Coturnix japonica: one gene and its partner. The protein of the gene in region 2 purifies or fractionates together with the protein of the main gene of each other region. This does not show direct contact. Links are inferred from orthologs where the notes say so. Each region holds a gene or a part of one and is shown on either strand. Other genes may lie near its edges. The genes, in order: AKT1 and acyl-coenzyme A thioesterase THEM4-like.

Region 1 (11,309 bases), on a different chromosome or scaffold from region 2:
CACACCCAGCTGTGCTCCTGCTCCTTCTGCATTTCCACAAGGAGATCTGCAGGGGCAATCAATCACTAATACTGCACTCAAGTTAATATGCCCACATTTTGCTTAACTGCATAATTTTAAGTGAAGAGCATAATCTGTGATGGATATGTGAGAGACAGGAACGCAACAGGAACCTGACCGTTTGTACTCTGTTTTTTCTTTTGGTTTGGTGTATATAAGTTCACTATTTCAGTGTCATAAGATTATTTTCCCTTCTCAATACAGCTGGGATTGTGATGTTTCCTCACACAGGTTACTGGAATTATAGAATTCTCAAGCATTTTCCCAGAACTAAGTACTCAGGTAGTGTTACTTGACAAACAAGGGGGGAAATCAACATTTTGAAGTGGAATTCAGTCCATCAATATCAGAAACTGTGTCTTCTGATGTGTCTCTGCAGACCCAAAGAGTGACTGGTCTAGAGTAGGACTTGTGGTTATCACTGTAACAACAAAAACAGATGTGGTGGTGTACGGAACAGAAGTGATACATATGCTATTTTTATATGCTCTATATCTAACTAGTGCATTTTCTATACAAACCGATTCAGTTCCTGTTTACGTTTCCCACAGCGTGTTTGCTGTCCTATGTTATGGCTATCACTATTCTGAATGAAGAGGTCTGTACAGCTCTCACATTGGAGTTTGTCAGCACCATTCCTGACTCAGCCAGACAGGCTCACTGCAGGTCTGGGAAGTGCACCTTCTTCCTCCTGCTCCAGCTGGAGGAAGCGCATTGTGCCTCCCCAGGGCTCCTCAGCTTCAGCATGCTGGTGACCAGGAAACAGGAGCTTGCAACTGAACAGAGGTCTCCTGCCTGACCTCTTCAAGGGGTTTTAACAAGGTATTGGGAAGAGCTCCCCAAAACGCTCTTGCAAACAGCATAATTCAGACCACTGCTGTTCAAGGTGCCGGTTTAGCTGACACTCAGCCTTTTATGGACAAGACATGTTTCTAAAAAGCAAAGTCGCAACGTTTCAATATGACTATAATTATTAGTTCTTTCTAGATAGCCTGCTTTTGTTTCACAGCTGAGAAATACACCTTGGATTTGTTCAGTTTCAGAAGCACAACTCTATTACATTTGGCAGTACTAAACCCACTCTTCATTTTCATATTCATTAAGCTGTATTTTTGTCCTACACCAAACCAGAGTCATTAATTTAAAAACATTTAATATCTAGTCCAAAAACCCCAGTGGGCTGTCACATAGCCTTTCCACTTGAGTACACCCCACCTTTTAAAAAGGGAGGAACACATTTCCTGATGGCCCATAAATGTGCTGCCGCTACTTGCATCATAGAACAGAACTTGTTCTACTGGTGGTTAACTCAGTAATTCCATTTCATCTTAATACTCTATTCCTTCTTTTTACGCCTGAATGGGTATAAAACTTTTTTCTTCTCTCTCTTTTTTTTTTTTTTTTAAATCCTAAGCTGAATAATTTCAACATTTAAAAATAACGTTAACAGTTATGTCAAATTATATAATAGAATCATTGAATCATCGAATCATAGAATCATAGAACCATAGAATGGCTTGGGTTGAAAAGGACGACAGTGATCATCCAGTTTCAATCCCCCTGATGTGTGCAGGGTCGCCAACCACCAGACCAGGCTGCTCAGAGCCACATCCAACCTGGCCTTGAATGCCTGCAGGGATGGGGCATCCACAGCCTCCTTGGGCAACCTGTTCCAGTGCGTCACCACCCTCTGTGTGAAAAACTTCCTCTCAGTATCTAACCTAAACCTCCCCTGTCTCAGTTTAAGACCATTCCCTCTTGTCCTATCACTGTCCACCCTCATAAACAGCCATTCCCCCTCCTGTTTATATGCTCCTTTCAAATATTGGAAGGCCACAATGATTGTTAAAAATGGATGGGGATGATTCTTCTGATATCAACCGTTCTCTGCCATTAGCCCCTGTGTTCATTACTGTAGGGTGATACAATACCAAGGATGACCTGATGCACCTTATCCTGAAATGAGAGCAAACAGATGAAATCTATGGACGCACCCAGGGAAATCTAGGGACTTCCCTCAAAATTATGGTTTATAGACTATAATCTCCTTGATGATAACTGAGTGATAAAACACACATTGTTTGCATTTATAACAATTATTGAGTGATTTCATTGTTCCCACTGAAGAAAAGGCCTGCTTTTGTTCGTTGCTGATAGAAAGTTGCTCTTGTTGCAGACCAGGCACTTCCTACTTTACCTGGGTATTTTTATTGGCACTACTTCACCGTGTCTGAGACAAGCCTTATTCCTGTCTCTGCATCTAACTTCCCTCTCACATTTGGGGAATATCAGATCCATATCAGGATCCAAACTGTTTAGTAAGGACCTGTCTTTCATCACGGTAAATCAACAGTGTGTGAATCTAAACAATCTCTTTGTGTTGAATTGTTTTTTTCTTTTTAATTGCACTTCCTTTTTAGCAAACAACAGAGGTTTATTTTCTTCTCTTCGGGACTGAAAACAATGTTTACGTATGACCTTATTTTTAAAACTGCTGCTTCATTTGCAGGGGGAAGTCCTAATGACCTTGATCACCACGCAGCCTGGGAGCAAGGAAGGCAAGAAGCTCTCCTGCAATCAGATCTGTTACCAGAGATCCCCCCCACCTATACAGAAGAGTCTCACAGATAGTAAAGTCCAGTACTTACACATGCACTTTACTGCTAGGCATAATTGCAGGCTGAAGGCTCAAAATTAGTTCACCAGTGGATATTCTTGTACTCATAAGTTCTGTATGTGCCCTGTTAGCTCTGAGCTTTGCACGCTGACAATTTCCTTTTAAAGATATCTCTGACACCTACCTACATTTTATTCTATGCCTCATGTTCTGAACTTAATGCACAGTATGTAGAAATATGATTTTATTTTCCATTACCTGAGGGTGTGGACAGTTCTCCGCCATTTCATTCTGTTCATTTTGATATCAGTATAAATCTTTCTACTGACAGCAGATGCAGATCTGACTCTTAGGCTTTTTTTCTCTCCATCCTGAAGAAGGGCTAATTCTTTTCTCCACTTTCAAGCTCCTTTAGTGCACTGATATACACAGAATCTGATGATCCACTGGACACTCAGAAAATTAGTGACGGATATAATTCTTTGGACAGACTTTCTAGTTGATCACATTGGAAGAAGGATATAAAATGTGAATTTCAGTAAGAACATACAATCATTCCCAATGACACCGCAGGAAAAACTCTTAGTATGTCAAATAGATTTGCTGCCTGTGTAAATGCAGAGCTGCGTTCCCCAGCTTTACTGATGTAAATGCATTTTACGCACCTTTATTTTGTTAACAGTGCAAAGCTGTGGGAAGATGTGGCATTTTCTAAATTCTAACGAGCTTCCAATTACAGAAACACGATCATCAGTGATCGCATGCTTCTGAACAAATCAAAGCACTCTTACGGCCCAGTTAGATTTTATGGCACTGTCAATTAGAAAATAAACAAAATCCCTTAATGAGTAAACAGGGAAAATTTTGATACTGGAAGCACAGAGAAATCATAAATCTGTCAAAGCCATTTCCACAACATCGTTTTTCAGAGCGGAGCAGCTCTTAAAATCTGACAAAATACTGCCCTGCTGCAAGCGACAGTTCTCGTTGCTGCAGCAATCCGTAATGGTTTGGGAAGGGCTTTAAACTAAAGCAGGGGACATTTAGGTTAGACGTTAGGAATAAATTCATCTCTAAGAGGGCGGTGAGGCCCTGGCACTGCTGCCCAGAGAGCTGTGGGTGCTCCATCCCTGGAGGTGCCCAAGGCCAGGCTGGATGGGGCCCTGGGCAGCCTGAGCTGGTGGGGGGCAGCCAGCCCACAGCAGGGTGTTGGAGCTGGGTGTGCTTTGAGGTTCCCTCCAACAGGAGCCATTCTGTGACTGTATTATTTGTGTGTACTGAGAGCAGAACGGCCTAGCAAGCAGCAAGGAGGCTGAGATGCAGCACCTAGACTCATGGCCTGGGTTGCTACCCTGTCCCCAGGCAGCCCCCCTTGCTGTGGGAAAGGATACTGGAATATCCTCTAAGTGATACCGCATTATTGAATCAATCAGGATTTAGGAGGCGCAGGGAAAAACCTGCAGCGTGTTAAGTAGATTTGTACGGCTTCAGGAAAGCTTCACAAAGTTGCTCTGGCGCTGTACAGGAGCCACATGCTTTCTGAGCAGCAGAGGTGCCACGAAACCACCGTGGCCCCGTGCTTGATGCCTGCTTTTTGGAGTTCATTGCCAACACTTTGGGAACACTTCGGCAAGACCAGACACCCGCACCTCAAAGCCAGGAGAAACTATAAAGTGACCCACACCCAGGCTCTGGCAACCGGACGCCCCTTGTAGAGGCCGGCGGTGCCTCTCAAAGCCGGCAGCCCGAAGCGGGGCCCGGGGCCGGGTAGGCGGCGGGCTGAGGGGAGCAGCGAGGCGGAGCAGGGCGGCCCCACAGCGCGGCCCCACAGCGCGGCGGGGCGGGCGGGAAGCGGAGCGACGGCGGTAGGACCCGGAGGATGTGAGAGAGAGCGTGTGGGACGAGCCCGGCTCCGGCTGCGGGGAGCTCGGCCCTGCGGCTCCGGGGGTGCTGCTGAGCGAGAGGCAGCCTCCTCCTCTCGGCCAGAGGCAGGAGCGAGGCGGAGCGGCGGGGAAGGCAGAGCCGGCAGCCCGTGTGAGCCCCATGGGCCGAGCGCCTGCGAGAAGGGGAGGAGGAGCCGGCCCGCCGCCCGCCGCCCGGGGATGGTGAGGAGGCGGCGGCTGCCGTGAGCCCAGTTAGGCCTTCGCTCGGCGCCCGCCCGCCAGGCTCTCCCTTCCTCCGCTCGCTCGCTCCCCCCTTCCCTCCCCTTCCCCTGCCTCTTTCCCCTGCCGCCGCCGCCGCCGCCCTCCCATCACCTCCACCCTGGGCTCCCGGAGCCATGTAAGTGACCCGCTCCCGGGGTGGGAAGGGCCGGGGGAAGGAAGCGCCGGGGCCTGCTCCGCCGCGCATTGTGCGGGGCCGGGAGGGGCGGACAGGCGAGGCGAGGCGGCCGCTCTGCTCCTTCCCCGGGCGGCGGCCGCCGGGCGCCCGCTGACCCGCGTAGGCCGCGGCGGGGGCTTTTGCTGGCCCGGGCTGAGGCACCGAGGGGCCGCCGGGGGTGTGCGTGTATGTACGGGGTAGGGGGGGGCAGGGCTGCGGCCCGGAGCCGGGCGGGAGGGCTCGGGGCGAACAGGAAGCTGTTGGCTTCCCTGGGATGCGGGGAATGGAAGTGCTGCGGGGTGGGGGGCTCCCCCGGCCGCCCTCTGGGCCTGCTGCAACCGCGTCGTCCCCGAGCATCTCCGAGGGAAAAAGGGGCTTTGGGGCAGAGGGAGGCACGGGGCATTTCCCAAAGTGTAGCACAGAAAGTGGCCGATCGTTCCTCCATCTACTCCCCCCGCCCCCATTTTCTCCCTTTATCTTTTGTGCGGCTCCGCGCTGCGTTGAGGATCGGGGAGTGTTTACAGTCGGGGGTGTGAGTCTCCGTGTGTTGGTGGTGCTGGGCAGTGTTGCTGGGCCCCATTGCTTTGAGTTCTTGCGGCGGTGTTGTGCAGAGCTGCGAGGAGCTGCTTACAGCCAACCCCCCTCCGCCCCCCAGGTGGAATTCTGCAATCGCTGAAACGTTCCTGCAGACTTCCAGGACTTTTCCTTTGGGTTCTTTGTAGAGCTCAGAATTCTAACAGTGTGTGCTGTATTTGCTGTCTGTTTTTACTGACACAAAGGTACAGATGCAGGTTGCACCTTATTGGGATTCCCCCTGCCCCTGGGAAAGGATTTAACCATTTTTCTCTCTGCTTTATTTTTCTTCCATCCCACCCATACAAGAAGCTAATCCCTGCTTTACTCTTGTTTGCTGTACTTATGCCACCAGGAGGGATGTACATTTTGAAATACAGTTACAAAGGGGCGTTACTAAGACTTAATTCAGAAGAATATTTGTTTACAGGTAAATAAACGTAACGCAGCCTATGACTAGTAATTACTTTTTTGTAGCAGCTAATTTCCTGATGACAGCCACAGCATTTGTCTGAGTTAATAGATTTAAAGGCACCGTGGAACTACCTTTGATTTTCTTTAAACAGGAGGGTTTTCCTTGTGTACATTATAGAACTGCTTTAGGTTCTGAGCTGCAGCAGTAAATCGAATCTAAGAATTGATCCAGTGTCCACAAGTAACCTGTAGCTCCGGCGTTGCTGGCTTATAGAAACAACCTGTAAGTAATTACAAATAGGATTAAATGGGTTCATGAGTGACTTGGTTTGTTTGGGAGACGGAACAAAACTTCCGTTATAAATACTTTGAAACGGGATTTGATTAAATGCATCTTAAGTCGGTGCAGAAGTTCTGAGCAGCACAGTCATTAAATTATATGAGGGTAAACTGTAAAAGGCCTTCTTCTTGTTTTGGAACATAAAGAAGATTTTGTTTAGCCTATGTCTTTGACGGAGAGTATGAAGAGATCTCTTTTTCTGCCATTGCTTAGTTTTGAAATACGCAGTTCAGTTTGTCCTATCAAACTGCAGTTGTGGTTGAAGCTCAGACAGCTGCATGTCGTAACTCTGGCCCCTCACCTGAACCAAATCAACCTCCTGTCTATTGATTAGTGGAGACGTGAGAGCACAGGCATTCCAAATTGCAGCTTTGTAAACCTAGATTGTGCTGACGGATTGGAGGAAAAGTGGATGTGGCTTTAGAGATCTTTTCTCCACTTACTGCTTTTTCCCGCAGTTCTTAGTGTCAGAGAAGCATTATTAAACCTTGTGATAAGCTGCACGTACAGTCATGAAATACTCATTTAGACATGGTGTTGTTCTGAATGGAACATCACATGAGCTAGTAGCAAAATATTTGTGACCATGCCTAACTCATGGGCCACAATGCATTTTTGTAAAGCAAGCTAAGATGCTGGAACAACCTGGTCCTTCTGTTCTCTCTTGAAAGCTGTCTGCCCAGATTGAGTAACTAGGTCATGGTGTGAAGCCGCTGTGAGTTCACAAGGCCTTGAGTGCTTTGGAAGCGCTGCTTCTCCTGGGTAGGATTTGCATAATGCAGGAGATGTACTTCACTGGTCAGAGCCTGGTGGAGATACTGCTCCGTACGCTCTACTTAAAACGTTTGCTGGAGCCCAACTTTGTTGCTCTTGTGCCGTTTGGATACAGTTGGCTGTGAGCTTAAAGGGAGAGCGGGGATATGATGCAGAAAGAGAGCGCAGGTTGCTGGTGTGATGTGTGGGCCCCACAACACGCACCTCTGCTCCCCTGCTGTTCTTGTGACGGTGCCTTGAAACCAAGGTAGGTAGGTGGGTGCTTGGGTCCTTTTTTGAATGGTTCTGCTGTTGCATGTTAAGAGAACATGCATGGATATGTGTCATATGAGGGCATTAGGACTGCCAGTCTGGGATGGGCAAAGCAATAGTCTTAGGAGCGTGCTTTGCTGTAACCTGCTTCCTGATCTGTGCTGACTGGCACAGCCATTGTGCTGAGTGAGACAGGGATGGGACTGAGGCTGGTGGGTTTGATCATCTTCTGACAGAGCCTTACTCCTTCCCAAGGATGAAGTCATTACCATGATGCTCCTACATCCCGTAAGCTTGTTTCAGATTCAGCGTCAATGGGAGAATGAATTTCCTTCCTGCACTGCTTTAGGGTGTGAATAGAAAGGAATATGAAATTTGACCTTGAAAAGAAGGGAAATTGAGTAGGACAGATTGATCTCTTGATTTCAGGGATATTTGGGAAGAAGCGAACGTGAATCTAAGCACGAGAGCATATGAGAAAAGGAGATCTCCCAAATAGAGGCAAGATGATTCTGTTCCACCTTCTGTTTAAGCTGACTCTTTAAAGCAGGCTTCATTGTTTCATTGCGCAGGGAGGTGAGTTATCTCATTACCTATGAAAGTTAATAACCTTTGAGGAATTAATGTATGCATAAGATCAGTATTCACTGCGATACAATGCTGATGTTGTGCTATTTGTGATGTACTGCACTTCCGCTGTGTGAGGAGTATTTTGGTCTTGAAAAAGGTATTACAGAAAGCGTATTGAAAGTCCAGCAAACTGAATGCTGAGAGAAAGACAGAGTTGTTTGGCTTTTGACAGTAGTCAGTCATGTGCAGATACAGACTGAAGCAGCCAGGTCATACTTACCTCAGATGCCCTCTGCTCACTGGGAACCATTCCTAGATGGCCATAAATGAGGGCTGTAGTAATTCTTCTTCTTTTTTTTTTTTCTTCTCTCTAAAGATTTTATGCAAATGGAACTTTCTCTGGTTTACACATCTTCAGAAACACACTGACCTGTAGTTAACTTACTCCTCTAATCCAGGAAATTACCATTACTTGCTAGCCCTCCATTTGATTGCCTTTTATTTAAATCCATTTATTAAGCACAACTTGGATGTGTATTTTGAAGGACCAGATAGAGTGAGTTTGCTGCTGTTGGAGCTGTGTCTTTGGACATTCACAGCGAGAAGGCATTCCCAGCTCTAAGAACAGTTCCCCCTTACAAAAGAAATGCTTTGGCATTGCTGAGGGAACAAGGTGGAGCCGATGCTGCATTGTGGTGGAAGGAGCTGTGCAGGTAGACACATCCCTGATGGCAGTGCTGCACTAACAAGTGGGGGATGCTTCTTGTATAGGAACTGGAGGCAGAGGGCAGTCCAGGCTTTTTGGGCACGACAGAAACTGGAAAAAAGTAGTTCCTCTGAACTTTGGGTTTCGTTTCTGATTTGCTGTTTTTTGGTCTGCGTAGTCACTGGTTCAGACTGAGGTGACAGTTTAGGCTGTGAGGAGCAGGAGGCTGCCAGGAGGTGATCGTAGCAAGTGTTAACACACATAAACCTGGAGTATGTTAGTTGGGGGTTCTATGATTTTGTACCATCACACTTTTTTTTGGTATTAGTAAAAGGATGGTCCTTTCTACAGACTAGTGTGGTTCGTAGCTTTCTTTTTCCTTTTAAGTATAAATCCTGAAAAGGATTGATTGCTTTACATGTTGAAATTGTTGAACTGAAGAAACAGAGGTAGGCTACATAGACCCCACTTTCTGTTACAGCACCATCTTAGATGCATTTCACACCTTGGTGCTGTGTTTTCTTACCTAAGCTGTGATAATCTTAGGGGTTTTGCTCAACACTTTGCAAATCTCTCAATGCTTAAGTGAAGCCTTTAGCAAGGTTTGGTCTCTCGTTGATGTCAACAAGTAGATGTAGCTGGCGCGACTGTTGTGCATGCATTGTTGAAAGGAGAGTGGAAGCCTGCTGTGTTCATCAAGTTGTGTCTTAATTGCTCTGGATCTGAAGGAGTTTGTTCGAAGACAACTGGTGGCTGTGGGTTGCTGGTCTCTATTCTACAGCATATGGTTCTCACATATTTATTTATGAAATTAAGAATTCTTACAAGTCTCTTGTTCCAATGTCATTTTTTTTGTGTGTGTTTTCCCTCCCTCGGGCAAACGTCGTATCTGTTTCTTTGAGATGATAATTATAAGCAGTCAGAAATGGCAGATTCATAATTTGGAAAAATATCTGCCATTTTTAGGGGAAAAAAAAGAAAAAAAAAAACAAAACACACAAAAACATAAAATGTTACTGGAAATAGCGATAAATAGTTAAAGTTCATAGGCAGAAATACTAGGATTGACTTCATTCTCTCGCATCTCCTACCAGTCAATTTCTGCTTCTAGTGACCATTCAAGTTTGACTTTCTTGCTTTGAAAATAGTTTTAGAGCGTTGGCAACAAATGGTGCAGGCCCCTCTGTCCTTGCTAATGTCTCAGTTCTGGATTGGATTCATTTTGACCACCTGCTTCTTCTATTCGGGGTTGTGTCTTAGTGAGTTATGTGAAATTACTTGCTTTTTAATCTGGTTTCTGATGAGTATCACCTGCGTGCTCACAAATAATTGATGTACACACGCCAAATGCATGCAGAGATGATATATATTTGTTGGTGGGAATGTGATGTCTCAGTGTTTGGAGTGAGACCAGTAAAAGCCAGGTCTTTGCTGGCGTGTTACAAGGGTTGTTACTTAGTTATTGCTTAGAATGTGCCACTAGTTAGATTTTTTTTTATTGCCTAAGCTGTACCAAATTGGATGAACAAATGGACCCTCTGAGAGCTCAGGAGTCATTAAAGAAAAGCAGAACTATATCACAAGCAGAAAAAAGAATAATATTCAATTTAGGAAAAGAATAAAAGCTGATGTGTCTGGGAAGAGCTACTTTCAATGAGGGAGAGAAAGATGAAGATCATTTGTGTGATAGTCAGCCGTGAGATGGCCAAAACTTATTGAAAATGTGTCTGTTTTGAGTTATTTAGGTAGGGAGTTCATCTCATAAAGCAAAATGGTTTAAATCCTAAGGTGTCCCTAGCTTATTTCAATGCAAGGAGCAGCAGCCATGTGCAGTGAGTTAAATAGGATAGAATTGATCAGGGTGCTTCTGAGGGCTGATTTAGGATAACATGAGCTTATCTGGGTATCTTTGTAAAGAAGCAAGAATTATATCGAAGACAGAGAAGGTGATTTGGGGGGAAGACAAGGAGATTTGAGTGAGATAACAGGATAATGTGCAGCAAAGCATTGGGAGTTTTTACTCTTGGGAGCATATCCCTAAGATGCGCCGTGTATTTGTTGATAGACTGATGCACGGCAGGCTGTAAATAAACCTTCCTGAGGGGATTCTGGAAGTCTTACCAGGAAATATTTATAACTGGACTTTGCTGAGTCTTGGATTTTTTCTTGTTGGGGGCTGTTTGGTGTTGTTGGAGGGCTGGAAGATGCCTACTGGGCAGGGACTTGGAGCCATCTGTAATCTAGACAGGGTGGTGGTAATTGTGCATCTGCCAGCGGTCAACCAGTTTAGTGAAGAAGCAGTGCTTCAGCAGGCACTTCTTCCAGCACCTTCACCTGCTGAGATACAACAATCCTTGTGAAGAACAAAGCCATCATTTAGGATTTGTAATAATAGTAAAAAAAAGAAGAAAAGCCAACAACCCACCAGTGCAAACTACTCCCTATTGTATCTCTGATTTAATATGTGATGTACTTCAAATAATAGTGGACTTCTTTTTTTGTTGTTGTTTTTGTTTGATCCTTTTAGAAGTAGCCGAGAAGGAGAAAGACAAGAAACAAACCATCCCTTTTGTGGATCCTTCTGCTGGAGTTCAGGAATTTCAACAGTGATCTTTTGACACGAACCGATCTACCAAGAGACATTCCCGCCATTATGAATGAAGTAGCGATAGTGAAGGAAGGAT
Region 2 (10,178 bases):
GGGACACTGGTGGGCACACAGGGACACGGGGACAGCGACAGGGACACGGGGACAACGGGAGCCGAACGGAGCGATGCCCGCGGTGACACGGCGACAGACGGCGGCTGCTGCGCGGCGCCACCTGCGTGTCCCCGTCCCCGCCACCTGCGTGTCCCCGACCACATCTGAGGGCACCGGAGCGGAGCGGGGGCACCGCGGGGGGCGGGGAGCGGGGCCAGGGGCACCACCGGCCTTGCACACGCGTGTGTTGTGCACAGCACCGTGCACAGTGCACACCCAGGGCTGCAGGATCGCACCCACGCAGCTCTGTGCTCATCTGCTTGCACACCTGTGTGCCCCCTTGCACACTCACAGCTCCCCACACATTACACACTCAGTGTACACGCAGCTGCACGTTGCACGCTCACCCTCGCTCCTGTAGCACCCGCTGCTCACACACTTGCACAAACCCTTGCGTGCTCCCACGCTTGCACAGATGGATGCATCCCCCACACGTTGCACACTCAGACCATGCACACCTGCAGCACCCACACCTTGCACGCTCACTTCAGCAAGACAGCACACGCCCCCTGCTTGCACTTACACCAACACACACTTGCACATACACTCACACACCCCTTGCACGCTCCCACCCACCACGCCTCCCACCCCATTTGCACTCCCACTCCCCCACCTCACAGGCCCCTTGCACACCCCCCCCATTGCACACCCCTTCCCCTTACACAGCCCCTCCCCTTGCACACCTCCTCCCCTTTGCACACCCCCTCCCCATGCACACACCTTTCCCTTGCACATCCCTCCCCTTGCACACCTCTTCTTGCACACCCCTTCCCATGCACACCCCTTTCCCTTGCACACCCCTCCCCATGCACACCTCTTCCCCTTGCACACCCCCTCCCCTTGCATACCCCTCCCCTTACACACCCCTTCCCCTTGCACAACCCTCCCCTTGCACACCCCTTTCACTTGCACACCCCCTTCCCTTTGCACACCCCGTCCCCTTACACACCCTCTCCCTATGCACACCCCTTCCCCTTGCACACCCGTTCCCTTTGCACATCCCTGCTCCCTTACACACACCCCGTCCCTCGCACACCCCTTCCCCTTGCACACCCCTCCCCTTGCACGCCTGCCCCGTACCTCTCATTGTGGTGTGTGGGGTGCGGTGGCGCGGCCGGGCGTTATAAGGGCGCGGGGCCCCCCCGGCATCCTGCCCCCCCCCCCCATCAGCATCCTGCCCCCCCCGGCCCCACGCACTGGAAATTTCCGACTTTCCACGGTGACACGTGGGGAGGTGAGGGGGGAAATGAGGGGTCACTAAGCTGTGCTATGGGGGGGAGGATGGGATACCTGGGGGGTGGCAGTAGAGGGGGGGGTTGGACCCCCACATGTGGGCTCTGCAGTCCTCCAGTGTGTGGGGGTGGGATCCACGGCCACCCCGATGCCTGTGGGGCAGCTATAGGGCTGGCAGTGGGGTGAGCTGTAGGGTCAGGTACAGGGCTGGCAATGGGGTCAGCCATGGGGTCAGTTACAGGGCAGCCATGAGGCCATGGGGTGAGTAATGGGGCAACCATGGGGTCAGCCACGAGGCACAGCCATAGGTGAGCTATAGGGTCAGACGTGGGGTCCCCCAGGGAGGGCACAGACTTAGTGCTGCCTGAGTGCAGTGCGGTTGTGGCTGCGCCCCTGTGTACCTGTATCCCCATGTCCCATATTCCTGTGTCCCCAAGTCCCCACATCCCCAGGACCTGGTCAGATTTGGGAGCGGGGGGGGGGGGAACGGAGGGACGACCCCACTCATTCCACGGCCCCGCCCACCCAATGGCTCCGCCCATTCAGCCACAACCCGTCCCCCAACCCCTCCCACCGCACCCCTTCCTGCCCTGCAGCACGTAGGGACAGGGATGGTTATGGGGACAGGGACGGTTATGGGGACAGGGATGGTTAGGGGGACAGGGATGGTTAGGGGGTCAGGGATGGTTATGGGGACAGGGACGGTTATGGGGACAGGGATGGTTATGGGGACAGGGACGGTTATGGGGACAGGGATGGTCAGGGGATCAGGGATGGTTATGGGGCCAGGGATGGTTATGGGGACAGGGACGGTTATGGGTACAGGGATGGTTATGGGGCCAGGGAAGGTTATGGGGCCAGGGAAGGTTGTGGGGACAGGGACGGTTATGGGGCCAGGGACGGTTATGGGGCGAGGAATGGTTATGGGGACAGGGAAGGTTATGGGGACAGGGACGGTTATGGGAGCAGAAATGGTTAGGGGGCCAGGGATGGTTATGGGGCGAGGAATGGTTATGGGGACAGGGAAGGTTATAGGAACAGGGATGGTTATGGTGCCAGGGATGGTTATGGGGCCAGGGATGGTTATAGGAACAGGGACGGGGGACAGACACCATGGGGACACCACTCCGAACCCCAATAAACCACCAGAGGACACCGATGTCACTGCAGTGCCAGGCTCTGATCCCAGGAGGTGACACAGGGACGCCCCCTCCAGCATTACAGTGTCACCGCTGGGGACAGGCGGCCGGGGAGGGGGGGGAATTGTTGTCCTCCACCTGGATGAAGAGAGCTGGAAGAGAACAAGGAGTGACAGTGACACAGTGACACCGTGTGACAGCACGGCATGGGGTCACGGTGCCCTCTGCACTGTGGGGAGCCCCTGTGTCACCCCGCTCTATGGGATGGCCTCGTTGTCCCCATCCCCATCCCCATCCCCACAGCCCCTCACCAGTGGCCTCAGCGTACAGCGTGTCCCGTTGGGTGTCACACACTTGGCAGGACAGGAAGATCTTGCGCCCCTCGTGCTGCTCCACGCGGCTGTCGGCCACCACCACGGCACCCAGCGGCACCGGGCTGGGGGACAAGGAGGGGACAGAGATGGGGGCAGAAAGAGGAGTGAGGGGAGAATGGGGACAAGGACAGGGATGGGAGTGAGGACAGGGTGGGTGACGCTCACGCCAGGTAACTGATGCTCAGCTTGGCCGTCATCGCCGACATTTTGGCTGCTGCCAGAGCACACGTCCCCACTGTGGTGTCAACGAGGGTGGCAATGGCACCACCATGAGCGAAGCTGTGGGGACACAATGAGTGTGTGGGGATGGGGGTGAGGACGGGGATGGGGACATGTCACCTACCCCTGGTGGCCCTCCAGGTAGGGGCCCACCTGGCACAGGCACCGTGTGCGGCGGCCGGAGGCGTGAAGGAAGATGGCGTACTCAAAGCCAGCACCTTCTGCGTCCACATTGCGCAGGAACAGCCGCGGACCCGGACCAGGATCCACCGTCATCTGTAACACCTCTGCCAACAGGACACGGAGTGGGTGACACAATGGGGGGACACAATGGGGGGGACACAATGGGGGGGACATGGTGTGGGTGACACAATGGGGGGGACACAGTGGGGGTGGCAGAGTGTGGGCTGGTGATACAGGGGTGACAAAGTGTGGGTAATGCTGTGTCAGTAACAGGGCATGGGTGACAGTGTGGGTGACACCATGACAGTGTCACGGTGTTGGTGACGCTGTATTTGACACTGTGTTGGTGACACCATGACAGTGTCACGGTGTTGGTGACGCTGTATTTGACACTGTGTTGGTGACACCATGACAGTGTCACGGTGTTGGTGACGCTGTATTTGACACTGTGTTGGTGACACCATGACAGTGTCACGGTGTTGGTGACGCTGTATTTGACACTGTGTTGGTGACACCATGACAGTGTCACAGTGTCGCCACCATTACTGTTGTCACAGTGTGAGCGGCACCACGAGCTGAGGACGCGGTGCAGGTGACACAGACAAGGGACAATGGTGGTCACCTGGGAGGTGGTCGAGGCCGCGGCGGTAGGATGGGATACGACGCCATGAGCCGTTGGTGGTGCAGCGCAGCAGACGCTGGTACTGTTCACACATGGCCGCACTCCATCCGGCATTGGGGACAGCCAAGTCCTGTGGGGACACCGAGCACGAAGCCTGCAGGGACACACAGCAATGGGGACGGGGCGGCCGTGGCTGTGGGACATGGGGTGGTGTGGGGACAGGCACATCAATGGGGACACCGGGGGTTCGGTGGCACAGCTGTGGGATGCTGTCACCAGCGGGGTTTGATCTCCGTCCCCTCCCACCTCCCATCTGTGACCCTCTTGTGTCACCCAGGGCTGGGACATTTATGCCATGTCATCCCTATATGTCACAACACCTGTAACGTGCCTGAGCCTGTCACCACCCCGGAGTGCCCTATGTCCTCATGTCTCCACCCCATATTCCCATGTCCCCACCCCCTATCTGCATGTCACTGCCCCACGTCTCTGTATCACCTACCTTTGTCCCCATGTCACCAGCCAATATCCTCATGTCACCAAGCAATAACCCCATGTCCCCGCCCTGTGTCCCCATGTCACTGCCTGGCGTCTCCGTGTCACCTCCTGTTGTCCCCATGTCCCGCCCCATGATGTCCCGGTGCCACCACCCAACACCACCACCCCATGTTCCCATGTCACTGCTCCATGTCCCCACACCCTCATCCAATGTCCCTGTGCCCCCACTCCATGGCCCCATTTCCCCACCTGATGTCCCCATACCACTGCCTGATGCCACCACCACCTGTCCCCATGTCCCTACGATGTCCCCATGTTCCCTCAATGTCCCCACGTCCTCACAATGTCCCCATGATGTCCATGTCCCCATGATGTCCCCATGTCCCTATGGTGTCCCTATAGTGTCCCCATGCCCCCATGGTGTCCCCATGTCCCATTGATGTCCCCATGTCCCCACAATGTCCCCATGTCCCCATGATGTCCCCATATCCCTATGATGTCCCCAAGTCCCCACAATGTCCCCATGTCCCTACGATGTCCCCATGTTCCCTCAATTCCCCCATGTCCCATTGATGTCCCCATATCCCTATGGTGTCCCCATGTCCCCACAACGTCCTCATGTCCTCACAATGTCCCCATGTCCCTATGGTGTCCCCATGATGTCCCATGTCCCCATGATGTTCCCATGTCCCTATGGTGTCCCTATAGTGTCCCCATGCCCCCATTGTGTCCCCATATCCCTATGATGTCCCCATATCCCATTGATATCCCCATGTCCCATTAATGTCCCCATGTCCCATTAATGTCTCCATGTCCCCATGATGTCCCCATGTCCCCATGGTGTCCCCATATCCCCATGGTGTCCCCACGTCCCATTAATGTCCCCATATCCCATTAATGTCCCCATGTCCCCACACCCACTGACGTCCCCCCGCCCCTCACTCACCGTGGGGGTCACCCTGCCCATCCCATGTGCCACCACCGCTCGCGCCCCCGCCGCGCAGCTTCGCCACATGGCGCGAGATGACGTCACCGAGACGACGTCACTCCGGCTCTGACGTCACTCCGCCCCGACGTCACCCCTCTCCTCTGTCGCGCTGCGATGACGTCACTACGACGCGCCGGGCCCCCCGCCCCGCCCCCACCCACCGCCGTTCCGCCCCGCGACCCGCGGCCGGTACAGCGCGAATGGAGCCACGGGCCGCGATGGGGGCGGAGCCTCCGGTACTGAGGCCGCTTCCGGTGTAAGGCCCCTCCCCACGGAACCCCATAGAGACACATAGGGACACATAGGGATCCGGTGGAGATACACAGCGATGGGGGTTTGGGGTTAAGGACCCCATGGAGATGGGGACTCAGTAATGAATATTGGGATATGGGGTCAGGAACCCCACAGTGATGAGGGTTTGGGGATGAAGACCCCATGGACATGGGGACTCAGGGCTTGTTATGGGGATATGGGGATGGGAATCCTATAGTGAAGGGGGTTTAGGGATGAGGACCCCATGGACATGGGGACTTAGGGCTGACTGGGATATGGGATCAGGAACCCCACAGTGAAAGGGGTTTGGGGATGAGAACCCCACAGAGATGGGAATCGGGGCTGATTGGGGTATGGGGTTGTTAACCCTACAGTGAAGGGGGTTTGGGGATGAAGACCCCACAAAGATGGGTACTTAGGGCTGACTGGGATATGGGGATGGGAACCCCACAGTGATGGGACTCAGGGCTGATTATGGGGATATAGGGTCAGGAACCCCACAGTGAAGGGGGCTTGGGGATGAGAACCTTCGAAGGGAGATGGCAGGTTAGGCTGTGATGGGCGGGATATGGGTGGGAACCCCACAGTGAAGGGTTTGGGGATGGGAACCCACAGGAGATGGGCTTTGGTGTGATTTGGGATATGGAGATGGGAGACCCCACGTGAAGGGGGTTGGGGATGGGAACCCCATGATATGGGGATCGGTGCTGATTATGGGAGTTGGGATAGAACCCCCACAGTTGAAGGATGTGGGATGAGACCCATGGGACATGAGGACTTAGGGCTGATGGTATGGGGAGTATGGGATCAGGAAACCCCACAGTGAAGGGGGTTGGGGATGAAGGACATCAGCAGAGATGGGGGACTCGGCTGGATTTGGGAGTATGGGGATGGGAGCCCCACAGTGATGGGGGTTTGGGATGGAACCCATGGACATGGGGACTCAGGGCTGATTATGGGGATATGGACTCAGGACCTGACTAATTGGGATATTGGGGTTGGGAACCCCACCGGGAAGGGGAATTTGGGATGGAGGACCCCATGGACACGGGGACTCAGGGCTGATTATGGGGGATATGGGGATGGGACCCCACAGTGAAGGGGGTTGGGGATGGAAAGACTCAGCAGAGGATGGGACTTTCGGTTGCTGATTTAATGGGGATGATGGGCGATGGGCAGCCCCACAGTGATGGGTTGGGATGGGAACCCCACAGCAATGGGACTCGGTTGCTGATTATGGGGATATGGGGACTCAGGACTGACTAATTGGGATATGGGGTTGGGAACCCCACAGCACAGGGGGTTTGGGGATGAGAACCCCATGGACATGGGGACTCAGGGCTGATTATGGGGGATATGGGGATAGGAACCCCACAGCGAAGGGGGTTTGGGGATAGGAACCCCACAGCAATGGGACTCAGTGCTGATTATGGGGATATGGGGATGGGAACCCCACAGCGATGGGGATCTGTGCCTGGGATTCCCATGGCGATGGGGACCCGGTGCTGACGGGGATGCAGGGATGGGAACCCCCCAGTGATGACCCACCCCAAGGCAGAGGCCACAGCAGGGTCATACAAAACACTTTATTGGGGCGGCGGGGCCGTCTCTCACTTCCTCCCCTTCTGCTTCATGTGCACCACGAAGTAGTCGTTGCAGGCGATGGTCAGTCCAGCCACCAGTGAGAAGAAGCTCTGGAATCCCACTTTGCCATCCCGGCACTGGTCCAGGTCCTTCATGATCTTATCCAGAGCCATGGGGTCACGCTGGTTCTGGGGGCAGAAGCGGGTCAGCACCTCATAGTGTGGTAGGTGCTGTGACCCCACTGTGCCCCATTCCCCTCCTCCAGGTTATAGAACCCTGGGGTAGGTGTGACCCTGCTCTGTTCCCCACCGCCTCAAGGTATCCAGCTCTTATAGGGCTGTGGGGTAAGTGTGACCCCACTGTCCAACCTCTCACCTCCAGGAATCCGGGGAACTCCTTCTCCATCAGGGCACGCAGGTCCTCCTTGCTCAGGTAGTTCTTGTCACCCGCATATTTGTGGAAGGTGAACATCAGCGTCTCCATGGCGTGCTCCATTTGGGATGGCATGGTGGCTGCTGTGGGGTCTGTGGGGTCAGCAGGGTCCTGTGAGGGTCTCAGTGGGGTCTGTGGGGTCAGAAGGATACAGTGGGGTCTAAGGTGTGGGATCAGCAGAGTTGGAAGGGTCCAGTTGGGTCTCACTGGGGTCTGCGTGGTTTAGTAGAGTCTAAAGGGGCTGGAAGGGATCAGGAGGGTCTGCAGGTCTGCATGGGGAGAAGCAGGGTCAGAAGGGATTTGTGGGGTTCCATGGAGCTTCAGAGGGTCTCTGTGGGGCGTGTCAGGCATCGTGGGGTGTGTGGGGCTCCATAGGGTGTGTGGGGCTCCACAGGGGTGTGTGGGGCTCCATAGGGTGTGTGGGGCTCCACAGGGGTGTGTGGGGCTCTATAGGGTATGTGGGGCTCCATAGGGTGTGTGGGGCTCCATAGGGGTGTGTGGGGCTCCATAGGGGTGTGTGGGGCTCTATAGGGTGTGTGGGGCTCCATAGGGGTGTGTGGGGCTCCATAGGGGTGTATGAGGCTCCATAGGGGTGTATGAGGCTCCATAGGGCGTGTGGGGCTCCATAAGGGTGTATGGGGCTCTATAGGGTGTGTGGGGCTCCGTAGGGCTCTATAGGGGTATATGGGGCTCTATAGGGTGTGTGGGGCTCCATAGGGGAGTGTGGGGCTCTATAGGGAGTGTGGGGCTCCACAGGGGTGTGTGGGGCTCCACAGGATGTGTGGGGCTCCATAGGGGCGTGTGGGGCTCCATAGGGGAGTGTGGGGCTCCATAGGGGAGTGTGGGGCTCCACAGGGGTGTGTGGGGCTCCATAGGGTGTGTGGGGCTCCATAGGGGCGTGTGGGGCTCCATAGGGTGTGTGGGGCTCCATAGGGTGTGTGGGGCTCCGTGCCCTCCGTCCCATCGTGGTGACTCAGCTCCGGGCAACGGCCGCGAGGCGGGGCCGGGTGTGATGTGCTGCGGTGTCCCTCCTCTGAACCCCCCCCTCCAACACACACACCCCGCCCCGGTCTTCCCTATGGGACACCCTCGGGACCCCCCCGCCCTGGGCACACTGAGTCACGGCGCCTCCTCCCAGGGTGGGGCCCCTCCTGGATTCCCTACAATCGTGGATGGGGGGGGCACATCCCAAAGCTGCTCCCCCCCCCCCCCACTCCATTGCAGGAATGGAGACTCCACCCTGGGGGTGAGGCGTTGGGGTGTCCCTCCGGCTCAGCTTTAATGCTTTGGGGAGGGGGGGGACACACAGTTTGGTTTTGGGGACCACTCCTCTATACCTGCAAAGGGGGAAGAGGAAAGGGGGAAAAGGAAGGAGGGGGGGGTCCCACCCCAAGTGGAAAATAATGGCAGAGTCCCAACCTTTGCATTAAACTCTCCCCTGTTCCAACAGCCCCCAAATAAATAAGTAAATAAATAGAAATAAAGCTGCAGCATCTCAAGGGGGGGTGGGGGTGGATCCTAAAGTTTATGGGGTGATGGGATAGTGTATGGGAGGGGGGGGGGAAAGCAAATCTTATGGGGTGATGTGCGGGTGGAAAGCCCTCAAAGTTTATGGAGTGAAGGGGGAGGGAATGAGGGGGACCCCGAGCTTTGTGGGGTGATATGGGGTGAGGGGAAGAGCCGGGACCTCCTAAGAGGGGGGGGTGCAGGATGGGACCCCCCCCCTCCAGATGGAGGTTATGATGGAGCAGGGTTACTGCTATGGAGGGGGTGGGACGGGGGTATCCTCTATGAATAGGGCTTCTCTCTAAGGGTGTAGGGAGGTCCTCTATATAAAGGGTCCTCACCCCATTGCGGGTCAATGCCTGGAGGAGCTGGGTTCCAAGGGACCCAAATGAGGCGGGGGTCCTATGGAGAGGTCCTATGGAGGGGGGGGGTCGGTACTCACCGCACGGCGCAGACCGGGGCACTGCGGGGCGGTGGCACCGCCCGGGATAGGCACGGAGGGGGCGGGACCGCCCCGGGGGGGGGACCCGGGGGGGGCCTGGGGCTGACTCAGTCGCTCCCGCCCGCAGCGCTCAGCCTTAACCCCTTCCTGCCCGGCCACTATCAGCCCCCCCCGGCCACTATGTGTCACCTGAACGCGTGTCCCACCTGGTGGCTCCTGGGGAGGGGAGCACCGCTGGGGAGGGGGCGCCTGGGGACGAGGCCGCCTTTGGGTACAGGCCCGTCCATCCCTAAGATCAGGGCCGTTCTTAGGGACCTGGCTCAGGGATGTGGCCCTAACCCCGGGCACGGGGCTGCACTTGGGGACAGGGCCACCAAGGAGCTGTGGGCACTGAGAGCTGTGAGAAACAGCTTTGGGGACAGGAACGTACTGAGGGACCGACGTGGGTTTCTTTTGGGGACACGGCCATTACTTGTAGGGACAGGGCTGCGCTTGGAGTCACGGCTGTGTATGGGGACATGGAGGACAGGAGCACATCTGGGGCCATGATCACCTATAGGGCCAGCATCACCTATAGGGACAGGATCACCTATAGGGCCAGCATCACCCATAGGGACAGGATCAC

What was found.
Region 1: the proteins of acyl-coenzyme A thioesterase THEM4-like (region 2) and AKT1 purify together in Homo sapiens (co-immunoprecipitation; 4 studies listed by BioGRID and IntAct, with this or other methods). This does not show direct contact. The link is inferred for Coturnix japonica from reciprocal best matches to the Homo sapiens genes THEM4 and AKT1.

What each region holds. Positions count from the first base shown.
Region 1 is NC_029520.1:46,982,339-46,993,647, reverse strand, and holds the start of AKT1 (RAC-alpha serine/threonine-protein kinase), read left to right. Parts: upstream 1-4,530; 5' UTR 4,531-4,957; intron 4,958-11,152; 5' UTR 11,153-11,278; coding exon 11,279-11,309. UniProt on the Homo sapiens protein: AKT1 is one of 3 closely related serine/threonine-protein kinases (AKT1, AKT2 and AKT3) called the AKT kinase, and which regulate many processes including metabolism, proliferation, cell survival, growth and angiogenesis.
Region 2 is NC_029540.1:2,460,195-2,470,372, forward strand, and holds acyl-coenzyme A thioesterase THEM4-like, read right to left. Parts: upstream 5,468-10,178; 5' UTR 5,344-5,467; coding exon 5,275-5,343; intron 3,985-5,274; coding exon 3,831-3,984; intron 3,313-3,830; coding exon 3,150-3,312; intron 3,086-3,149; coding exon 2,972-3,085; intron 2,869-2,971; coding exon 2,744-2,868; intron 2,585-2,743; coding exon 2,520-2,584; coding exon of another isoform or gene 2,512-2,519; 3' UTR 2,455-2,511; downstream 1-2,454. Other genes in the region: RORC (nuclear receptor ROR-gamma), read right to left, coding at 1,351-1,390; S100A10 (protein S100-A10), read right to left, coding at 7,200-7,361, 7,549-7,680. UniProt on the Homo sapiens protein: Has acyl-CoA thioesterase activity towards medium and long-chain (C14 to C18) fatty acyl-CoA substrates, and probably plays a role in mitochondrial fatty acid metabolism. Plays a role in the apoptotic process, possibly via its regulation of AKT1 activity.